Linked DNA regions of Drosophila melanogaster. Changing the gene in region 3 together with the main gene of any one other region gives a genetic interaction. Each region holds a gene or a part of one and is shown on either strand. Other genes may lie near its edges.

What was found.
Region 1: of msn (region 3) and ics, changing one suppresses a phenotype caused by changing the other (phenotypic suppression), as found in Drosophila melanogaster (one study listed by BioGRID).
Region 2: of msn (region 3) and tkv, changing one suppresses a phenotype caused by changing the other (phenotypic suppression), as found in Drosophila melanogaster (one study listed by BioGRID).
Region 4: of msn (region 3) and Rab11, changing one suppresses a phenotype caused by changing the other (phenotypic suppression), as found in Drosophila melanogaster (one study listed by BioGRID).

The regions. Positions count from the first base shown.
Region 1 is NT_033779.5:13,638,653-13,644,671, forward strand, and holds ics (icarus), read right to left. Parts: upstream 3,951-6,019; 5' UTR 3,368-3,950; intron 2,621-3,367; exon of another isoform or gene 2,619-2,620; 5' UTR 2,597-2,618; coding exon 2,458-2,596; intron 1,830-2,457; coding exon 1,208-1,829; intron 1,145-1,207; coding exon 1,054-1,144; 3' UTR 795-1,053; downstream 1-794.
Region 2 is NT_033779.5:5,240,673-5,245,815, forward strand, and holds the start of tkv (thickveins), read right to left. Parts: upstream 3,468-5,143; 5' UTR 3,404-3,467; coding exon 3,310-3,403; exon of another isoform or gene 2,027-3,309; intron 1,949-2,026; exon of another isoform or gene 1,547-1,948; intron 835-1,546; coding exon 697-834; intron 506-696; exon of another isoform or gene 434-505; intron 166-433; exon of another isoform or gene 94-165; intron 1-93.
Region 3 is NT_037436.4:2,583,074-2,588,333, reverse strand, and holds the start of msn (misshapen), read left to right. Parts: upstream 1-1,793; 5' UTR 1,794-1,931; exon of another isoform or gene 1,932-2,068; intron 2,069-2,079; exon of another isoform or gene 2,080-2,297; intron 2,298-2,595; 5' UTR 2,596-2,651; coding exon 2,652-2,729; intron 2,730-5,260. Other genes in the region: RpL8 (ribosomal protein L8), read right to left, coding at 1-250, 444-581.
Region 4 is NT_033777.3:21,109,466-21,116,941, forward strand, and holds Rab11 (Rab11), read left to right. Parts: upstream 1-1,942; 5' UTR 1,943-2,350; coding exon 2,351-2,390; intron 2,391-4,480; coding exon 4,481-4,602; intron 4,603-5,287; coding exon 5,288-5,636; intron 5,637-5,785; coding exon 5,786-5,919; 3' UTR 5,920-6,681; downstream 6,682-7,476. Other genes in the region: rtet (tetracycline resistance), read left to right, coding at 1-123, 187-260, 554-729, 787-1,092, 1,151-1,242; ppan (peter pan), read left to right, coding at 6,839-7,168, 7,231-7,476.

The DNA.
Region 1 (6,019 bases), on a different chromosome or scaffold from region 3:
TATATGATACTATCGAGTGCTTGTAATTTGCTTTGTTGTAGTCTCATAGGTTACTAGTTTATGTTTTTTGTTTTTGTCTGTGTTTCGTATTTGCATGCTCAAGAACTAATCGTGCAACTACTCACGGAGTCCCGACTGATGTACTACTCCAAGAAAAGACATTTATAGCTTGAAAGCTATATGATATTATTTTTGAAACCCTTGTCTTCGTTTCCATTCGCACATCCAACTTGTATATCGTGACGCATAGCTATGGAATTATCTCAATTCGAATTTACAAGACGTTTCCGTGCTATCATTTTGGAGAAATTTACTGAATAAATGAATTTACATTTTTGTTTGTTTTTCTGCCAGACTTTTCGTAAAAGAACATCTTTAACTCTTGTAAATAAACTCTATAAAAAATATATAAATATAAATACTAAAATATACTTTAAGGAATAAATTAAATTTGAATTGCAGATACAGTGAAGGCGAAATACGTTTACAAAATAATTAAATAACATAAATTGATAAAAAAAAAATGTATTCAATTCAAATTGACAAGTGAAAAAATGCAAAGAAACGAAACAAACTCAAAGCGAACAAAGCAGAACTATGCTTTTAGTTTTTCTCAAACATAGAAAACAAAGAACAAAAACAAAAAACATTTAACTATTAATTTAATTAAAATAAATAAAGAATTAATTAATTGACTTTAAGTAAACTAATTAATTATGATTATGAACAAATTTCTTAAAAAAGAAGAATGAATATGAGAAAAGATAATAAAAACAAGAAAAACCTACTATTTTATAAAATATACAAGCGTGTCTTTATTTAACGATTCTTTTGCGCATAGGATCCGAAATTAAACCAGCAGGAATACATATATGCATCTATTATTTTGTTTTATTTTCATTAGTGAAACTAAGGGTCAAGGCACATTGCAGAAATACGCATTAGTTTAAAAGTACTTATAAATTAGTATACGAAAACGGGTTTGGTTAACAACGAACGAGACGAACACATTTGTAATTCCATGGGATCTTGGGATCTTCTGGTGGAGAATCACTATGCGCGAATTCGAGAGGCCTTCTTGCTTTTGTCAGCTTTGGGTGGCGGCGGTCCACTGCGTCCTGCTTGCAAGTGGCGGTTGTAGATGCTGTCAAGGAAAAGGATCAGATGAATATACATTTATGGATATATGGATCTATGGTGCACTCACATCTTATAGGTCTCCGTTTTGAGGTAGTCGATGACGTGACTAATGCCCAGCAGATATTGCTCGGCGATGGGATTGACCCAGGGATTCTCCTCCATCTTCATGACCGACTTGTTGCTCAGTAGGTCCAACTGGGCGATCTCTGGTGGCAGCACCTGCAGCCTATTGTTTTGAATATGTAGCTCCCGCAGTCGCACCAAATCCCCAACTTCGCGGGGCAATTCCAGAAGATCGTTGTCACGCAATCCGAGTATCTGCAGATTCTTCAGCTGACCCACCTCCTTCGGTATATACTCGAAGTCATTGTCGCCCAGATACAGAGCACGCAGTGTCTCCATACCAAAGAAATTACCAGGCAGGACCTGTTCGTTGAGATTGTTGTAGGACAGGTCGAGCACTTCCAGCACCGGAAAGGCTCCAAAGCCGCGAGGAAGATTTATCAGCCGATTGATGGACACATTGAGGATGCGTAGCTTTGGCATGGACGACAGCGAAACGGGCAGTTCGGTCAGCTGGTTGTTCGAGAGGTTCAGGATCTCCAGATTCAGTAGGTTCGCGATTCCCGGACTGATTACGCTGATCTTGTTGTGGGACAGGGTCAAGCGCGTGATGTTGGACATGTTGACTGCAAAAAAAATTATATTAATAAGAATACTAAACTCTTTAAAATACATATTTTTCCTTTTTCGTGATATCAAAGATTGTTTTTCATAATTGTCCAATGCACTGTGAATTCACCACTGGGTTTAAATGCAAACAGCTGATTGCAGGCAACAAGTATAGACGCCGAATGTTGGAGCGGGACAACAATATAAGCAGAGGCATGCGCAATGTTTTTTTTTTCTCAAAAATTTAATGGTTTTAAGATTAATAATTGTAGTATATTCTAATTTTATGTAAATGAAGTCATAGTTATGGAGTTGTAGTACATTTCCCAGATATGTATACACATCTTATTTGCGGTATTTACAGTGTTTGTTTACGTTCTCTACACTCAAACTTATGCATATTTTGCTGCTGGCGTCATCACAATAAATAAAACTAAGCGACTCCATTTAAAAAGATGCTTAGACTCATTTTAAATGAATATTATTACCACAACATAAATACATACGCTAGAATATTATTAATTTACAATTTTTTTAGCAGCTGGGCGAGGCTCCATTCTGCGTGGAAGTAACCCACCATTATGTTTACTCAGAAGTGCAAAAATCCGTATAATTCCTTCAAGATCCTTTGGTTTTGATACTTACACAGTCCGGGCAACTCCTCGAAGGACGACAGCCCCTTGTCGGCCAAATCCAACTCGGGATTGTGAGTTTCTCGGGCTTCATCCAAAACCTTCTTTGCCTTCGACATCTTTGCGCTCACTGGTATACAAGACTGACTCATTTTCGTTGATTCCTAATACGCCCTAAAAAATACCAGAACAAAATATACATTTCTAATTAATTATTTTGAAGGTTAGTCAATAAATTTTTATTTCTAAAAGCAGAATAGTAAAAGAATTTGGCAAACTAATTCTATGCTTTTTTAAATTTTGTAAGCAATTTTTTTGTAATGTGAGCTATTATATCTGTTATATGTATTTCAGGGCTGCCAGACAAGTAGAAATATGTAATTTTACATCGACAGGAAGCAATGTAAGATATTGTAAATGACTTAATCGAATAATAAGTATTGAGCTCATTTATTAAATAATATTTATATTTATATTATTTAAAAAAAAAGATGTTCATTATTCATTTGTATCTACTTATATATGAATGTGAAATCAAAGCTCACCAAACAATTGTTGATAAAAAGGTACCAACATAAATTTTACGCGCGTTCGATGTATGTTATCATATCTACATGTAGAAAGTGTGTTTACTTGTGATTGGTAAAAACTTAATTGTAACGTGTTTTATTTATTGAATTTATAATAACATGCATTCTTTAATAATATTGATATAATTTTGTTTATTTTTACTTTGCTCGATTAATGAAATATTCAAATGTCTTAAAGGACTTAACATTATTATTATGTATTATGTTAAATTATGTATTAATTTATGTATTAAATTAAAATATAAAATATTGTTGTAAAATGTATTTATTTTTATTTTTATATATTTTTCGTGTAGTTGGTCTAAAACTAAGTAATGAACCACAATTACTTACAGAGTAATTCTAAAACTGTTTTGGCAGCCACTTTCAGTAGCTCTCAAACTGCGCCAACTGCACTTTTTGTTAGCATATGTTTTTCTTCGGTCAGTTTTCAGCACTTTTCATCCACATGAAAACGAATTTAAACGTTTTTTAGGTCACTATGTTACACAAACACTGCACTTGACCTATTTTTGTAGGAAAACACCAAGGCTTTTCATACTGTATGCGTAAAATTGTTGAGTATCTGGACGAATTCGTACTGATTTCTGCAGATTATATGGCACTCACGTTACAGAATGGAACATGGGTTCCTATTAGAATACGTCTCCGCTCTTCGAAATTAATCACGAAAATAGACCCAAAGTGCGGAATGCGTCGTGCGTCGTCCGATCGTCTCGAGAAACTGAGAAGATCTCTCGCAGCGTCAGCAAGATCGATCGATGTGGATGTGGGCGAGTTGGAGGTGATGGGGGATCCGAATAATAGCTGGGGGCTGGTTTTTGCCTTTTTCGATTGTCGCCACTGCCGGCAGACAGGAAAAAATAAAAAACAAATCGAACCCAAACTCAATACCGGGTTTTGTTGATTTTGTTTAAAGTATTTCGCTTTTTCTCCAGCATCTTCACTACAGTGTCGAAACCAGTTTGAATTATATCGAAAAGACAAAAAACAGGCATAACTAAAGCATGAAATCTGTGGTTTGTCGACTTGGAAATAGGCGCTTTGTTGATTAGTTAATTACACAGTTGATTAATATCTTAAATGCAGCCATCTCGTTGACGCATATAAGATTTTAATATGATTTATCACATCTCCATGTGAAGTGAGACATCATGACTTTTTTCGCTATATTTTACGTTCTTGCCTTACTTCTGCTGCTCACACCATATACACATGAAAGTAAACTTCGATATATTAGTGAGTAAGGACACGACTTGGGATAGTAAATATAAAGCTAACCGTTGTAATAAGCTTGCAGGCGCAAAAGTGGAAAGTGGGGACGTTGCATTATAAAACAATCGCCATGTCCTGGCATTACCCATTTAAATCGCGTTTGCAATTCGGCAGCCATTTGCTGTGTGCCTGAATCTCAAAAAGTCTGGGACAATATAAGCTATTTTAAGCGCTTAGAACCGAAAGAAAACAATATAGAAACAGTAATAATAAAGTAAGTCTGTTTCTTATTACTTAGCCACTTAAGAATTTTATACCGTTATAAACTGAAAACTGCAGTGCAATAAGAAATGAGCTTAGAGCACATTTAATAAAATATCAATTCAATATAGTCATGTTGGCTTTTACCCTTTTTAATGCATTTTAGTTTAATTTTCTTTTCTTTTTTAATAGTTTTTATTAGAACTGCAAGCTGAGACATTTCTTCAATTTTATCTATTTGATGGATGCTAGATGCAAATTTTGAAGGGACTCAGATTTCTGGGCTGCAAACATGGCCGATATGATCTCCTTCAGTACAAGCTGCTCGGGGTTTTTCTGCTCTGGCCATTGGCTGTATTTTTAATTACTCTGCGGTGCTCCAGTTGCCGATGCAGTTTTGGATCTCAGAAATACGTAGGAACTAGATGTTTGTGTGGGTGGGGGGGCAACCCCGTTTTTTGGCTTTCGTATTAATTTTCATCCCGCCGGTTGTCGAATCCGCAAAACAGAAAGTTTGTCTTATGCGCCTGCATAATTTGCGTGTTGCACATACCATTTTTTTCGCTTTTTTTTTTTTTTTTTTGGGTTGGGGTAGTTGGCATGATGGCGAGTGCCTTTGCCGTATACACTTCCGCCGTATAAAATATGCAAAACAATGCAAACTCTCGCCTGGCCAGCAAACAACAACAACAACAAGAACAACAGCAACAGCAATGGGAGGGAAATAAAAACTTTCCCTGGCCCAAAAATTAATTTTTGTTTTAGATGGCGCGCAGATTTTTCGGCTGCATTTTTGGCTGCACTGCTAATGCTGCGGCACAGTCGCCACCAAACGACCGCCGGCCACTGTCCGTAATTTTTGTTTTAATTAACTTTTTGTTTGCCTTTTTTTCCTGCTGACAAACTTTTGCAGCTCGGCGCAAATTGTGCTAATTTTGAAATGGTGGCCAAAATGTTTGGAAATACATAGTTTATGCTCAGTTCCACTCATATTAATATATGATTGCAATTAAGGCATTGTATTGTATTGTGTAGCAAAATCAAAGCCTGAGAAGTGTCCTTTGTTAGGTAATCGATTCTTTCATAAAATTATATTGAACTTTGCAGTTCGATTTTCTATGTAAAATTCTAACCGCAATAGCGACCAAAAACCATAAATTCTTCATTGCCAAGCTCGCTTAAATTCCAAATTGGACATTTGGCGGCCATAAATTCGCATTAAGTGTTTACTTCGTTTAAATGTTATCCATGCCAATGTGCGAATGTGCGTAGGAGCGGCAAATAATCGATCCGGATTCTAGTTAATTGATGGCACTTGCCTGCCCTCACTAATTTGTGTCCCTTTCTCACGGAATTGAACGACCACAGTTCGAAAGAGTTGTCGGCTGATTGAATAGCTTCAAGTGGGCTTAAAGTGGACCGAATAATTCGATCCGACTGTTGGCAACAGAAATATAACATCCTCTCTTATGGAGCTGTCAGCACACGGACATGGGCGCATACTTTTGG
Region 2 (5,143 bases), on a different chromosome or scaffold from region 3:
CTTAATGCCAAAGGAGGGAAGGTCTTCCACTGATGGAATCCAACCGAAGTCTAACGAGAATCGTATGCCACATTTGGCGAGTGTCGTTCACCGTCCTCGATAGTATAGTGGTTAGTATCCCCGCCTGTCACGCGGGAGACCGGTGTTCAATTCCCCGTCGGGGAGATGCGAGAGCATTTTTTCACAATATATTTTTCCAGTTAATAACAATAACAATAATTTTATACATTTTTGAAGCTTTTATTTTTGTTAGCTTTTATGTAGCACTTCTTTCATATGTTGAAACAGATGTATTGTTTTGTTTAACAAACTAAATTCTTCCGTACCCAGGCAATTATTAAATTTAACTGTTAAATAATATATAAATTTCGAAAATTAAAAAGTAACAACATAAATTAAATATCGAACCAAAAAAAAAAAATTATTTACACATCTCCCCGACGGGGAATTGAACCCCGGTCTCCCGCGTGACAGGCGGGGATACTAACCACTATACTATCGAGGATGTTGAACTTAGGTCGCCAAATTCAAAATATAAACTTGCTGTTGATCTATACATCCGAGTGTTATGATCATAAGTTATATTAATCCGAACTAATATTATATATAAGATAAAATAAGATAAGATATGCAAAATATTCGATGCTGATTTATAACACGCTTTTTTAAATCATTTTATTAAGATGGTAGACTCACCATTTTCCACGGTCTTGCTTTTCTCGTTGTCGGCATCCTCATATCCCTCTGATCCTGGTCCAGATCCCATTTCCATGCCACTCAAAGCGGCGGCGGCCATAGCTTCGACGTCTGGCTGAACATTCGCACTGAATTCACCTACGGGGCAAACAGAAAAACGGGCAATACGAAATATAAGTAAATTGAAAAACTGTGTAACTAATTTGTAAACAAAAAAAGGGAGAGCGGGTGGGAGTCTTGGCACTTGAGTTGCTCTTCTGTGGCGCCAGGCAAATGTCAATTAATAATTTAACAACAACAATTGCCCGTTTGTCGGGCGCCTGAAATACGAGATCTTAATTGAAAATAGAAACACATAGGGGCGATGGAGAGGAAAAGGGGAGTCGCACCAACGGAGAATGGGCAACTTCAACTCTCTTCCTGCTGAAAGCGGATGAGCGTGGGCCAACTAGACAGCTAAACGTGTGTCATAAACTTGGTCAAAAGGCCGCAGAATTTAGTGCCTCTCCGCAGACGGCTGCGTTCAGAACCAGTTGCCAGCCAAGTAGTCGGAGAGGCATCTTTAAGATACTGTTTGACAGCTCGCCGAGATTACGTCTAGTTCTGTCGTCTGCACGCCACAGACTTGGAGGATGACGTTCCTCGACGGCTCAAAGCCCACGCAATGAGCGCGACTTGAAGACCAAGAAATCCCCCTTTCTCGAGATACAAAACCGAGGTGCAAAAACCCCACTGTGCAACTTTCAGTGCAAATCAGCGGAAGCGACTCAGACCCAATCTCAGCGAAAGGGGTTAGGCCTCCTGCAGGGGTTTCTGTGTGCTACACTACCCATGTTTCCCCTACACTCACTTTGCCAAAATTAATGAGCAAACTTCATACGTAATTTGATAAACAGAAAAAGTGGTTGGCGCTCATTGGGGTCTTATCAAAACATTAGTTATTATTTATGATGCGTCTCATTTCGAGAGCTGGTATAATATATGTGTGCCACTCGACGGGCAATTGAAATCTCGTACGCGTGTTGGGTGGGCGAGGAAAGTCGCTATTCCATTCCGAATCTGTCAAAATGATAAAATGAATTATGCGAGTGCAGGTCCGATAAAAAGCTGCCATTCATGGAAAATCGGCGGCAATTGCGGAGCGCGAGCAAAGGATAATCTTAATTACGACCATAGAAAGTCGTAAATTAATGGAACTCAATAAAACTTTAGCGTAACATGAGTGGTGTAAATTATGGGAAACCGCTATACACAGTAATAAAAACATTATTAATAAAAAAAAAGTTCAATGATATCGATAGGGGGTTTGCGATATTTTTTAGTTTTGCAACACTTAAGAAGCAATATAATATTTGTTAGCTGAAAGTGCCTTGCTAAAATTTGACTTTCTAACTCCTCTTAGTTTCGAATATTTTCCAGTGCAACCACGAAGTTAACCGAAGCATTGATAAAGCCCATGTCTATGGCTATCGACTATCGCTAATTGATTGAGTGCCTTGCACTTGTCGACTCGAAACCCGCAGACCAAACGACGTAATTCCCCCGACGCGTCTAATATTTTCGCCACTTTGGTGTTGTGTTGTGTTGTGCCTTACACTCTCTGGCAGTTACATAAGCCATCTATCAAAGATTGCAAATTGCTGGGTGGAAAACTCGCGGCTCTTGTGTTCGACACATTTCCAAGAACTCAAAAGCAAAACAAAACACAAACGTGACAATCCATGTGGGTGCAGCCAAAGAACTGCGACCAGGGGAACTGATTTCGTATGGGCAGAACATGGCGACAATAAGCAAAACCCAGGCACAAAGTGGAGCACGTGCAAATTGGCTATCAATCAATATGCATACGGGTAGGAAAATGTACTGCGATGATATAGTTCGCATCGCTTCAAAAGATTCGCAATTACGTAGAAATAAAAGCAAATGCCGACTGCATGGCAAACGAATTGAATGGCTCCCAGCCAAATGGCAAAAATGTTAGGCCTCTATGACACTAGGTCGAAAACATAGTAGGCTATTCTAATGTAAATTCAAACACTTCCATATAGTAACATATTTTTTAATAACATAAAATGAAGAAAATTGATGAACAGAAGCAGCGCAGTCAAAGGATGAGCTAAAGATGCCAGCTTGCAGGAACACCATGAGCAGTCAGGAGCGCACGCAGAACATCAAGCGCTAGATAATGGAGGATGAATTGACCTTGTGCGAGGTCAATACCCTTTCAATCGATTATGAGGCGGCCGGCAAATGACAGTTTAACAGCCGCCACGGAACTAGCTGATCAATCCATTATTGACGATGTTTTTGGAGAAGACATCCTGATGAAAGACTTGCAGCGTAAGAACACCGTGCAGCCCACTTGCTCAACAACGACATCGTATCTTGTCCCATTTGCTTTGAGAAAATGAAGCGCGGTACCATTATGGTGTGCTTGGAACCGCCATCGTTTACTTCAAAGGACTTGGACACCCGTTTCTCCTCCTCGGGATCTTCCACATCACGCTGCACCAAATCGAAATCAAATTCATCAAAGCGAATTCTTCGCAGCTCCGGTTACACAGAGCTGAACAGCAACTCGACTACTCTGCTGTCCAGCGAGGACGAACTTACTCCGCGTCAGCGCCTCTAGTGCAATCTCTTCAAACAGACCGTCGGCTGTCCCAGATGTGGCCTGGAGTTCAAGGGCCACCAGCTGAAGGCGCATCAATCTCTCTGCCAGGGTCGCAAGAAGCACTAGGACGGCACCTTATACGAACCATACATTAAATAAGTTTTTCACAATTTTTCACACAGTAAATTTTCTTCATGTTATCAAAAGTGTGTTACAAGCAAAATATATAAAACAACTGATTGTAAAGTCAAGGCATGCTTATGTATCTAAAATATTGCTTGTTTAAATTTCAAGTCGATTGGTGTCATAAACGCATCTCTCAGATGGTCAGTGAGTGAAAATCAATTGGGTGTGGTCTGGGTAACTGGGCTTTTCAGCGGTTTGCCTGCTCATTGAACCTTGTCCAACTACAAAATGCTTCAAGTACTGCTACATTTACTGCAAAAATGGCCTAAAAATCGCCTTTCAAGTTGCACTTACAGTGGCCCAAAGAAAAACGCGGCCAACATTGTTGCCTGAGATAAGAAAACTTGGCTGGCGAGAGGAAAAACACACAATGAATAATGAATGGCGAATGTACGCCAGATAAACCCACATTGCATTTGTTGTGGGTTCGGGTTCATATTTTCATATTCATATTAAGTGACTGATTGATTGATGGCCCAGGCAACTTGGAGGTTTACTTTCAGTTTATCGTTCGGTAAGTCACACGTTTCTTTCCAAATCGCTCGTGGTTGGGATGTCAACTTGGAGATTGATGGCAGAATGGGGAAGAAAACCCCAAGGCAATCAAAAGTGAAGTAAAATAGGAGTTACGATAGCCAAAATGGGCAATTAGCAAAGTGGGGGTGCGTTTAAAGTTGTGTTTAGCGAAAGTGAATCACATTTCCTACATGTAATACCATGTTTTTGCTGTTTTATAAGATGCTTATGCATGAAGATGGCTAAAAATAGTATGTGTCACACACATTAATTAGAGTAAAACTGTATATTTCGTAACATAAAAATGCTATCTAGAGATTAGTGCTCCCTCCTTTTCACCACCATTAGAAATCCCCTAACCCAGTCGAGATTCTGGCCAGCAAAGATGTTTTGAAACTGGGTCGTCGCCGCTGAGTGCGCGCACTCTAGTAGCAATTAAAAATTTTAAATATTCCTTCTGCTGAACAGAATTTAGCAAACTTGCATTGGCCACTCAAAAATAGATCAAAGTGAAATTTATGTTACAGATTTTGGGTTTTTTTTTTTCTGGGTGGGGAAAACCAGGCGAACGGCGGATGCGAGAGTGGGACGATAGGGCCAAAAATAAATTCCCCGATGCAGCCATTTGGAGTTGGATTCTGTCCATCAACGCGCCGAGTCCATGCTAAATGAGCTGCACCCCCCGCCAGTCCGATGCATCGGCGTGTGAACATTAGTCAAAAATGCGTAAATGAAATCAATTAAAATTACGCATAGCACACGAGACGCATTCGGAATGGAAATCGATGTGTGTTTACACATTCTGCCTACGCGCTCTGCATGGCCTAATGAAGGCACGTCCCCATGCCATACCATCCTATACCACTCCGTCCATACAATCCCATCCAATTCGATCCCCAGGGAATTGGGTATGGGGAATGGTCGAGGGTAAGGGTTGAACCCGAGTGCAATTGGTAATGGCCAACACAAGAAGAAGAGCGGCGGAGCAGGGGATCACTGAGTGCCACTTCAATTTGTTTACAACAAGTTGGCCCGCTGATTGCAGCTGGGCCTCATTTCATACACACTTTAAAAAATCAATTTTCGACTTGCATTTAACGTGCCATATGCACTTGTTTTATATGATGGAAC
Region 3 (5,260 bases):
AGGTGCGGGCCAAACGGCCGCGATCACCGGTCTTCTCCTCCAGGTTGCAGATGATGGTACCCTCGGGCATCTGGCTGAGGGGCATCACGTTGCCGATCTGAAGGGTGGCCTTGCGGCCGCAGTACACGAACTGGCCGGTGTGCATGCCCTCGGGGGCGATGAACAGCTCCTTGCGGATCTTGTAGCGGTAGGGGTCGCGGAAGTGGACGACGGCCAGAGGAGCGCCACGGCCGGGATCGTGGATGATGTCCTGAAACATGGAAGAAGTACGATTCGCTTAGTTACACTTCAAAAGCAGTTAAGCCAAGTGAGCTAAGTAACTTCTAGTAAGCTGGCACAGGTGCTCAAGCACGTCTCTTGAATGTGGCATGGCCAAATGCAAGTGATCTCATCCACATTAAACGGATAGGTGTAGTTGGTGATCCTAGGAGCACGTTACTCACCTTGACAACTCCGCGGATGTAGCCGGAACGCTCGGCGAAGTCCAGGGAACGCAGCTTGGCGGCTCCCTTGCGCTTCTTCACGTGCGCCTTGAACACGGAACCAGCTCCCTTACGCTGTGCACGAATAACGCGACCCATTGCTGCAAGACAAATTCACGGGATTAGTACTCGAACTCCATATTGCAAATGCGGCGGTTTCACTAAATAAGATGGCCATCTTCAATGCAACACGCTACGGAATTTCGATCTTATTCGAATATTTTGACGGAAAATTGAAATATTCCATGTTACACGGTTATAATGTTAAATTGCGCACTGTAAACAATTTCCGCAATTGAAAACACCACCAAATTTACAAAATTTAGCACGTGGCTTACCGTAAAATTAAAATTGCCCAATACGACCACTCCGGAAACGGGGCGAAAAGAAAAGAAAAGAGGAAGACATCCTAGAGGTGGGCAGGGAATAGTGTGGCTGTGTTTGGCGTCTGGCGTCGTGACTAACGTGCTGCTGGGGAAAGAGCTGTTTCTCACTGCTATTTTGGGTATTCGCGAAATTGTTAATTTGCTAATAATAATAAATAAAATAATAAAATTTATCATATTAAATCTTCAAATTCAGTTTTCGGAAGTTTTACTAATCAGTAGCTCACTTGCCCAGAAAATTTGGTTTGATTTCAATCTTCGCAAGGTCAATTTCGCTGAAATCTGCTTTACCTAATCGAAACGTTTCTAAACTGGATAATTTTAATATAAGTTAATCGATTTTATATATGTATATAATAATTCAATTAGATGTATGAATAATTCGAGTTGAGCTGGAAAGTTGTGTCGAGCACTTGCCAATTGGATGAGAAGTGAAAAAGGCGACCCAATCAGAAATAAAATAGAGAGTGAAAAGAAACCAGTGGAAATATTCCGAAGCCGAAAGATATTTTGGACTATGCTATGCGTTCCACTGGCGTACATTTTTAGACGTCTTTATTTAACACATCTAATCTTCGACCATACATATCTTATTCTTATATTCCAATTCTGATTATTATATAACTTTAATAGGAAATGACTCAACGATTTGTGTTACCCTATGAAATAAAATATTAAATATGTTAATATTTTTTATTTTCCCAGCCTCTTTTTTCTAATTGGAATTAGTAAATGTCTATAATCTAATTTATTGATTACAGTTGCAAATTTGTTAATTTGCTATTCTGAAAGAGAAGAATATACGGGCACACGAATTGGCCTTTTACGGCTCGATATGTTTGCGGTATGTGCGCAGAAATGAGAACGGTAATCGCGGGGTATTTTTCAGTTCGCGATGGAATAAGCTGCCATCGGCTAATTGGTCACACTGTTGGAATCCGTCGGGGTTTTGGCGTCGCGTAAAACGGAAAACCGTTCTGATTTTCACTGAAGTTGGGAAATTGAACTGTTCAGCTGGTTGTGCGATGCAAAGGCGATAGGCGCCCATCGCTGTGCGTGAAGAGTACGTATTCGCGGTGCGCCAGTGAAAATCGCGAGTCCTGCGCGAGAACGCAAAACGCAATCGGGAGGAAAAAGCGAGTGGCAGATTTTTTCTGTCTACCTACACAAACACATACGCAGGCTACTGCACTGGTGTGGGTGTGTGTGTGAGGCTGGTCCATCGGAGCGCCGCAAAAAAAATATTGAAATTGTGCAGTGTGTGCGAAGTAGCAGATGAATCGGCAGTGATAAATAAATGGTTTAAGGGCGAGAAAAGATTTTATAAAGTGCTGGGGAATTAAAAGAGCCGCGCCCCGTTTGCCAAACGTTAACTAACACACACAAACACTCCGTCACAAAACACACATACGCACGCAGAGCCAGAGCAGTGAGAAAGAGAGATGGAGAGAGACAGAGAGCGAGAAGAAGAGCGGAGAAGCGAAAAGAGAAAAGTTGTATGACAGCAACAAATAGTTTGTTAATTGCACGGGTTTTTTATTGTGGCATTTGTCATTTAGAGCGTATAAATCTTAAATCGCGGTAAAGTGCGTATAAATCTAAAATCGCAGTAAAGTCCTGCGGCCGCTCCTTCTCCACTCTATTTCTCTCCCCGTTGTTTTGTCCCCTCCCCCCGTTCACCGTCTTATTTGCATTTCTCCTCTCTCCACCTCTTTCTGCGTGCGAAGAATCAGCAGCAGCAATTCTCCAGATCCAGAAGAACAAAATAAAATAGCAAATCAAAATGGCGCACCAGCAGCAACAACAACTGGCTCCATCGGTCAACTGTTCACTGGACGATATCGATCTGACGGCCCTAAAAGTGAGTCAATAAGCTGCGGTTATCCATCTCGAATGGAAATGGAATACGACTAGAAATAGAACCAGCAGCAGAGCCCCCCGAAAATAGAGCCCCCACATTGCCCCCTCCCCATCAGCTATATTCATTAACAAGCCTCGCCCGATTAACGGGAAAGTGACCGCCCCGTGATTATTTTCCCAGGTGTGGTCGTTTACACTCCAATTTCCGTTCGTTATTTGTTAGTTCGATTTCACAAACTATTTACACTATCTGAAAGGTTTCACAATCGATTAGTTTCAAAAAGATGTAAAATATACCGAGATGCAACCAATACGAATTCTTTTTTTTTGATATTATGATGAATTTTTTATTTTATATTCCTGCAATTCGCAAAGAAGCCCCTTTACTCAGAACTTGGTTCCAAAAATACCCCACAATATCTTACCCAACTCGATTGGCCTTTCCAGTCGTCAAACCCTCGAAGGTTTCCCCCGCACATTTATGCAAATTGTTTAAAAGTACAACAAAAGCGAGTTCTTTTTCTTTGTGTTCTTCCTTTTTTGCACTTTGCCATGGCAACGAAAAAAGGTTTTTTTTTCTGGATTTCCGTTCTCCCCCTCGAAGCAATCACAATAATAATCGAGTTGATAACTGCACATTGACATTTCGATTTCATTGCCTGACAAAAAACCACCCAACTTGGCACCACCCACCCTGTAAGTTTTGAATGTGAGAGTGGTGTGCGCAACTTTTGACCGGCCGGTGCCACCTTCTCCGCTTTGCCAAGCTATTTTTTGTTTCGCTTCGTTTCTCAATGAATTTGTCGAGTCTTAACCCCCTTTCGGCCGCCTTAGCACCCCCCTTTAACCCCCCTGTGGCCGCACGCACTGCCGCATGCGTTTGTTGCCTTTCTCTTTCACCAAACATTCACCACTCTCAGCACTTTTGGTGGCGGAACGGAACTCACCACGCCCGCCGGCCCCACGTTGGGCGCCATCTCTTTTGCTTTGCGCACCCACCGAAAGTTCAGTTTGGCACAAGTGTGTGTGTGAGTGTCCGTTTGTTGACTCTGCCTGGATGTGGTGGGTGGTGGGGGGGGGGTCAATGTGGAGTGGGCTGGTGGTGGTGCTTGGGTCGTCGCCTCGCTGCTACGGCATGTGCGCCGCTGTGGTTGTGTGTGTGCTTCACCCACAGATGAGGCCAAAATAATAGGCTTTAAGGCGGCCTTAAAAAAGGGATGTTCCGTGAAGTTCTATAAATTAAGTTAGCACTAAAAATCTGGAGTCAAATTTAAGAGATCACAGCATTAGTTTGGGAAGAGTTTTAGTTGGCTTTCGTACGGATAATATTACTTGTTTGTTCGTATACATGAAAATATACATATACAAACAAGTGTATTTTTCGGATTAAAGGCTCATTGCCGATTGACTTATATTCACAGTTCTTTTGAGTAGAACGAGGCTCCGCAGGCACTATTATTGTAGCCCCAACTGTTAACCCGTGTGTGTTTATGAAAAATTGTTCATAGTCGATGCAGAGCGACGAAGACGAGACAAAAACGAGACAAGAATGAAAATTGTTTAGTTTACTTTATTAAAAGGCGGCAGGCAGAAGCGAGCAGAGCAACACCATGCGTGCTTTTGTATCTATGCGAGTCGCATGTATCTGAATCGCTGTGTGTGTTTGTATCTGCGCTGCAGCAGACAGCTTGAAGATGGCGATAATGTGGACTCAAATGATAATGATGATGAAAACGATGATTAAGATGGGGCACACACACAACACCGGCTGCCAAGAAAAGCGGCGACGAACCCAAAGCAAAATCAGCAAAAATGGCAGCAGGCATGAGAATCATGAATTGTGATGTGTGTCTTGTTTGAAGTGTTGTTTTTATTTTTGTTTTATTTCTGTTTGGCCTTCTCCTCTCGGTGAGGGGCGCTAAAGTGGGCGTGGACGTGGGCGGCCCCTCGCCTGCATGTCTGCCATATTCCGGTGACCTGTCTGTGCGTGGCTTTTAAAGGTCATTAAACACAATGGCCGAGAGAAGAGAGATGCGATAGCTGTGGAATGTCCCGAAATAGAAAACGACAAAAGGTCAGAGTCCTTAAAGCTAAGGTTCTTTCTCTCGAAACTGGCTCGCTTTGTTAGGCTTCCGTTCTGGTTTCTGTTCACTCGATAAGAACTCCACTCCCCTCCACTCCTTGTGTCTGATAAGATACCACAAGCTGCATTCATCAGCACAAATTTCATTAATTATTTCTGGTTTTTACGACTCCCCATTTATTTGTATTTGGTGCAGTTTCTTTTATTCTCCACTGATAAGCATTCAAACGCGGTTCGTCTTCATTTTGGTGTGGCTTCCACTTCTTTATGTGTATTTCACTCGCATGTGCACTGAAAGAAACCGATCTTCAATCAGTAATGTTTAGTATCTAGGATAAACAAAGGGCTGATCCAACAACTTGGTTCTGAAGAATTCACGAGGTGGGCTTCTTCTTTTAAGTGGCACTATACTGCGTTTTAAATTTAACTTCATTATTTTAAATCTCTTT
Region 4 (7,476 bases), on a different chromosome or scaffold from region 3:
TTCGCCATATTCTCCGATAAAAGTGGAAGTACTTGGTTTGTGTTGCCCTCTCTGCTGGCGTTTGGCCTGGCAGTTGGAGATCTTGTGGTCCTGGCCTGCTGTCTGCGGGAAACGTTGCCCAAGGTGCGTACGGTTGGCTAAATTAAATATATTCCCAACACCATTAATTGTTTGACCTTTTCGCAGGAGAAACGTGTTAAGGAGATATCATCTGCACTGTCTTATGGCCTGCAGTTGCTCAATTTTTCGGCCATATTTAGGTAATTCAATGTTTTAATTAGCATGTCTCGAAAACCTGTCGTGTGATCAAATCGAAATCGTCATACGGTGAGAACTGCAAGCCACCCGGACTTGCCTGACTGGTTTGATAGACACTATTATCATGCCGGGTTCTCGGACACGTTTGTTTGATTGCCTTATCAGTTAGTAAATTCTAGATTGCTTTTGATTAATTGTAGTTACAGGGAATTGAGTCCAGTTAGCTAGAAGATTATTACCAATGATTATGTCTGGATTTTACAATCATATTTCAAAAGAATTCTCCCACTGACAGATTTGCTGCCATCAAAAATGTGCCTAAGAAAGACATTGCGGCACTGCGATCCATTGGCCTGGTATACTTCTTGTATCTCTTTCTGTATTCCGGCTTGGAGTTCACCGTCACATTTCTGATGTACCACAAATTCGGTTACACTTCGATGGATCAGGCGAAGATGTTTTTGACAACGGGTATGGAGCAAGTTGATAATCTACAATATTCCCTATCAAATTTGTGTCTTTTTCTAGGTGTAATCATGACTTTGCTGCAGGGATCGGTGGTCCGACGGCTGCCCGAGGCGAAGATCAAAGGCTATGCCATCTTCAGTTTGTACCTGATTGTACCCGCCTTCGTAGTAGTCGGCCTAGCCGAGGGCAGTCGGATGCTGTACGCCGGCATGACCCTGTTCGCAATCTCCACAGCCTTCGCTGTCACCTGTCTGACCACCCTCGTATCCAAATACGGAAACGATGACCAGAAGGGTTCAGTACTGGGCATATTCCGCTCACTGGGAGCTTTGGCTCGAGCTCTGGGCCCCGTGGTGGGATGCATTGGTGAGCTCCTCAGCTGTCTTAGGATTATACCTTTTCTAAACTCTTTAATCCTTAATAGCCTTCTGGTGCGTTGGCTCCAGGATCACCTATATAGCCGGCGGACTTCTGCTCATTTATCCAGCCATGGCCTTGCAACGCGCTCGCATTTAAGTGCAATAGGAATAGAGTTTTTAAACTCACTAGAGATCAACGGAAGTATTAGCTGCACATTATACTTAATTTATCGTTTTTTACAAGTATTTTATATTAAAATAAACACATTTTTACTCTGATTTGTAAGCAGGGGGTTTTTACTTGGGATCGAAATGTTTTCTATTTAATTAATTTTTTTAATAAGATAATATTAGAAACAGTTACTGCTACTGGGAGAACGATTCTGTTTAGGTTGGAACGTTTTAAGTATTCAAGACATTTTGAGTTGGAAATAAGTTAAATGGGCTAGGGATAATCCCTAGAAAATGTGTTCAGCTTTTTTAAAATACGATAGGCTTGTCGGGATGAAACGAGAGCAGTTCATGATAATTCGTCGTACCGTCTGGTAACTCTAAAACATCCATCTCGTTAATTTAGTGATGCAAGTCGATGTGAAAACATCGATAATGATATAAGTATGTTGGTGTTTTAAAATAAAACAAATAAGTTTTTTAAATAGGAAACAAACATTAGATTTATTTTCTAGACCTAATGTGTTTTAATTATGAAAAAATTTAATTCTAATTCTAAAGCTTTTGAGTATAAAACAATGTTCATATAAACAAAAATAGAAGTGACATTGTACTATCGCCTTACATCGCCATTAAGAAAATCGATAAGTATCGCCGAAATAATGTCGATGTACCGATATTTTTCAACATCTCTAGTCTCGTTGGAAATATAACGTGACGTTATTGGGAGTGACTAAGTTTTCGTGTAAGAGAAAATTGCAAATAAATGCGCTGCAAGCAGCTGCAAATCTCCAATTAATACTGCTCCAATTGCCGGAAAAGTCCTGCCAGCATTTTCGAACGCATCCGAGCTGGAAGAGCAACCGATTTCGCCACTTAAATACTGATATATACACTTTTCTCTTTCTTTACAACTACAACTGCAAATAAAAGTGTAAAGTGTGTGAGCCGACGACAAACGCATTAAAGAAATCGGCGGCGCGCAGGGATTATTGGATTTCGTTTAGCACCCGCACACACAAAACAAAAAGGACGGAACTGGATTTCCAAAGGATATCGAACCGAGCGAGCGATAGCAAAACAAATTGAGCAAAATGGGTGCAAGAGAAGACGAGTACGATTATCTGTTCAAAGGTAATTATAAACATGATACTAGCCGCTGGTCGAAGATCGCGGAAGGTTGATCAGGAGGGGAGGAGCCGCACTTCCAGGCTCTCCTCTCCCTGCCGTGAGAGACAGTGGTTCAATAGCACTAATTGAAACTAATTGGAGAATAACAAAAAGTGCACTCGAAGAGCCCAAAGTTCATGTGATGGTATGTGGTGTGTTTGTTTGCGTGAGTGTCATTAATTCCCAAAATAAGAAGTACGCCCCCCGAGTTTGTTGTTGTTGCTACTGCTGCAGTTGGATGCCCTTTGGTGGCTCTCCCGCTCTCACTCTGCCTATCTCCATCTCTTTGGGGTACTCTTTCGGACTGGAGTACGCGTACTTTGCCGTTAACTGCTTGTTTTGTCATTACAGTGCCGTTGGTCTCGCCACGTTGCATACAAAAGCCAAGCAGATCGTATTTATAATCGCTCGCTCTGTAAAGTAGGTTTAAGGCTTGCCCACCCACTCGAAATGCTAAAGTGATTAGATATCCAGTAAATAGAGCGAGAGTGTGGGTATTATGATTTCTGTACAGCTGGCTTTTGCAATGGTTTCTTGTAACTTCGTTTAGTAGCTCTCTCTCACGCGCGCTCTCTTTTTCACCCGCTCTCGATTGAAAGTTTGAAGCACAGTAGAGCAAAATGATGTATTTGCAGGTAGAAAACAAGACTTTTATCCCGCATCTTCCCCCGTTTATGTGTAGATATGTATGAACAGAGGTCACAAATTCTCAGCTCTTCTTTGTTCCCTTCGTTTGCTACTACGCCATAAATTCCAATTGCGCTTGGAAATCTCTGCTAGCTATCACAGCTGAGCAACTGTTGAATGTCATTAAAAAAATATTTAAAACTTAATCTGCCGTATTTTTTGGGTCAAGTATACAAAAAGTTAAAAAAAAAGTCATCATAATAATGCGTCAGTGTGCGGTATGCATGATGAGGCCTCAAATTTCACACATGAAACAATATTAAACGGACATGACTCACAGCCAATAACTGCTGAAGAATTCCACTCACCGATAAGCGCATAATCACATAACTGAAAATGGGCCGTTTCGGGTTATTCGAGCCAATCCCACTACTAAGTAATGACCGTCGATTACCACTCCTCCCCTTTTAATTTCTCATCGCATCCGCTTAACTAAGTGCAATTTCTCTTTAAAGATCGTTATTAGCGCTGAGAAAGAGAGTAGAAAACAAAGTGACTCAGCTCTCTCGCTGATAACTGTAACCACGCTGCTCCCAGCTGTCCACACTGAAAGAAAACCCTATACCCTCTAATTTAGCTATCTAAATTAAGTCAAAAACTTGGACTTAGCTCAAAAGTCGTTTCAAATATTTAGTTCCTATCTTAATGGCATTGCAATCGAAACTTCGAACTCAAGAATCAGTGTTCATATGATACCATTTTACTATTTGAATTTTCTCCGTGCAGCGATGACCATAGCGATAGAGCGAAAAGGTGTTTGATGAGTTATAGTTGTTGTTTTCTGAATGGATTAGCAAACATGCTGAATCAACAATGTCCGAAAAGGGTGTCAAAAATGGAAACTAATAGACAGACAGTCAGTAAACACAGTGTCTAGATATCAGTTAATATATATTATAGCCAACAACTCTGGCCGCACATAAGAAAGTTTATCAAAAAGAAATGGAGTCGTAAAAAGGTCAGTGGATAGTTTTTATCGGGTAGCATATCAACTTGGGATGCTTGTTTGCTCCCTCAAATATCCGCCACTCAATTATCCAAGAAATGTTTGCTATCGGCAATGAAGCACAATAACACGAACTCCCTAACGTCGACTGGCCCAATCATAAAACATTTCTTTCCATGGCCTGAAATCCCCCGAGCATGGCGGTTTTATGTACTCGCTGACCTTGGTGCGCCGTGCCAGCGGCGAAAGGAGGACATGACCTAGCCGGGCCACCAGCGACCATTCTGTCCGGCCGTAAAACACAAGACAGGGGCCATGCCACGCCACGCCACACCACACACCCACATAAATTATGCAACTGGGGGTCTTCGATTATCCAATGCCAATGTCGATGTCACTAATTCCCTCTAATCCTTTGCAGTTGTCCTTATCGGTGACTCCGGTGTTGGCAAAAGTAATTTGCTCTCACGTTTCACGCGCAATGAATTCAACTTGGAGTCCAAGTCGACGATTGGCGTTGAGTTTGCAACGCGCAGCATAGAGGTGAGTACGCTGGCCAAGAATTCGAGGGTGGAGTGGCCCATGGAGCTCCACCCCCACACATCTACCGCACCGCACCCACAGTGGGGGAAGTCACGGGTGAACTTGCGTGTGCGTTTCGGTGGGAGGACACGTAGTTGAGGCGTCTATCGGAAAATTGGGGGGAAAAGTTTGTTCAATTTGAGTAAGTGTCGAGAATTTCACTAAATAATGGATTGCCAATTGGCTTTCTTGCATAATTTCAAAAGCCATCCTACGGGATTAGCCAAAATGTTGACATCATAGTTGTCACTTGTGCTGAAATAATAAATTTATGTGGTCAATAACAATTATATATTACGTATGTATAAGGATTTGTGTTAAACAATACTTTGTGCCATCTTTTCGAAGTAGCTTAGTAGGTCATCTTAATATTTAGTATATCAAATGGGTTCAATGAATATAACTTACGCTACTTGCGTTTTTTCTAACTAGTGTAAGAAATTTCAAAAATTGGGTTCTCTTACTAGAGTTAAAAGCTTATCCATAAGCTCTAATTTATGTTGGTTATGTGTGAATACTGAATGCCAGTGCTTGTATATTAATTTTCAAAGCGAATGCGCCGCAGGCATTTCGTGGCGAAATTGCCAATTACTGGCACCATTCTAATGCTGTCCTTTGTTTCATCCTTCTTGTGCATCCAACGCAGGTCGATGGCAAAACAATTAAAGCGCAAATCTGGGATACGGCCGGCCAGGAGCGTTATCGCGCCATCACCTCTGCCTACTACCGCGGTGCCGTGGGGGCCCTGCTCGTCTATGACATTGCCAAGCATCTGACCTACGAGAACGTGGAGCGGTGGCTGCGGGAATTGCGCGACCATGCCGACCAGAACATCGTCATCATGCTGGTGGGCAACAAGTCCGACTTGCGGCACTTGCGCTCCGTGCCCACGGACGAGGCGAAGCTGTTTGCCGAGCGCAACGGCTTGAGTTTCATAGAAACCTCGGCCCTCGACTCAACGAACGTTGAAACGGCATTCCAGAACATACTCACAGGTGGGTCGTTCAGGATATTTTAGCTAGTCTGCTTTCAAATTATCGATCGTTTAAGAATATTTAAATACTGTAGATTAAACGCTTCATTGAAAGTCAATAGATTAATGATAACGAAGCACGACTAATGATGTCTCGTAATCCCGTTTCAGAGATCTATCGCATTGTGTCGCAGAAACAGATCAGAGATCCGCCGGAAGGCGACGTCATCCGCCCGTCGAACGTGGAGCCCATCGACGTAAAGCCGACTGTCACCGCCGATGTGCGCAAACAGTGCTGTCAGTGACCGCCCCAAGCAATTTTCGCTATTCCCCGCAACCGCCAGAACAGCAACATAAACAGAAGCAACAGCAATTACAACTACGACTACAAGAGGAGCAGCAGCGGCCAGAACTGCAACACCAAGATCAGGAGCAGCGTACACCCGATGGACCGCACAAGATGTCTATGCGTTTGTCAGCCACAGTTTGTCATGTGCGCATAAATTGATAATTCAAATCTGAGCCGCCACTCTCCACCACCAACACCACCACCATCATCAGAAGCAGCAGCAGCAGCAAAAGAATCGAAAGCAACAACATCCGGCTGTAGTTAACTGCGGTTTAAACTGAAGTTTTATATATATACAGATCCATGAGTATCGCATAAATCGACCGCCGCGGAAAGAAAGCAAGCAAAACTAAACACTCCAAATTCAGTTTAAGCTGTAGAACTATAATTTATATAAATATACATATATGCTAATATTAAAATATTAATATTATTAATTTTTCGCAACATAAATATATAGTTGTAATTTCGCGAGCAGAACAACAACAAACAACCGGAAATTCTTCGACTTAAACGCAAATTCATTACCACAGCACTGCAGCTCGGATTTTCTTCTTCGGTTTCTCGCAACATTTTAAACGATTGGCCACTTGGTAAAACTAGCTGATAAAGAGAAATCAAACAAAAACAGTTGTAAAACTTTAAATGCATAAATGAAACGAAATAACATCATTTGTGTTTGCTATGTTAAGTGTGATTAAATAAATATAATTTAAATAAAACAGAAGTGCTTTCAATTGGGCGGAAAATCGAAATTTAAAATGGGATTAGAGTGACCAAAGGCAGACGTCGGAGTGGGTGTTTGGTATTTTCCGCGCGAGCAGCCACACTGATCCATACACGTGCGGGAGAAAAGTGAACAAAAACATTGAAACATGGGCGGTAAGAAGAAAGTGCATCCGAAGACGCGCACGGCGGCCTTCAAGGCCAGCGAGCCGAGCGAGATCGTGGAGGCGCCGCACTCCTTCGTCATCCATCGCGGCCTCGCCTGTCCGTACATCACGGACCTCACCCTGGACTTCCGCCGCATTATGGAGCCCTTTACGGCCAGCAATCTGCGCGAGAAGCGGATGAACCGCATCAAGGACTTTGTCAGCCTGAGCAGCTTCTTCCACGTCTCGCACATGGGCATCTTCAACAAGGCCTCCACGCAGCTGTCCTTCAAAGTGGTCCGCTTGCCGCGCGGTCCTTCCCTGACTTTCAAGGTTTGTTTGTTTCATCGCTTAGTTTATACTGGATATTTTACCGCGAAGTTATTCTCTGTCAGGTTCACCAGTTCACCCTGGCCAGAGATGTGATCTCGCTAAGCAAAAAGCAGATGATTGACAACGATCACTTCAAGCACGCTCCGCTCGTCATCATGAACAACTTCAGTGGCGATGGCAAGCACCTTAAGCTGATGGCCACCACGTTCCAAAACATGTTCCCCTCAATTAACTTGGCCACGGTTAATATCGGCACCATTCGTCGCTGCGTCCTGTTCTCCTACAATCCGGACACGAAGCTGGTCGAG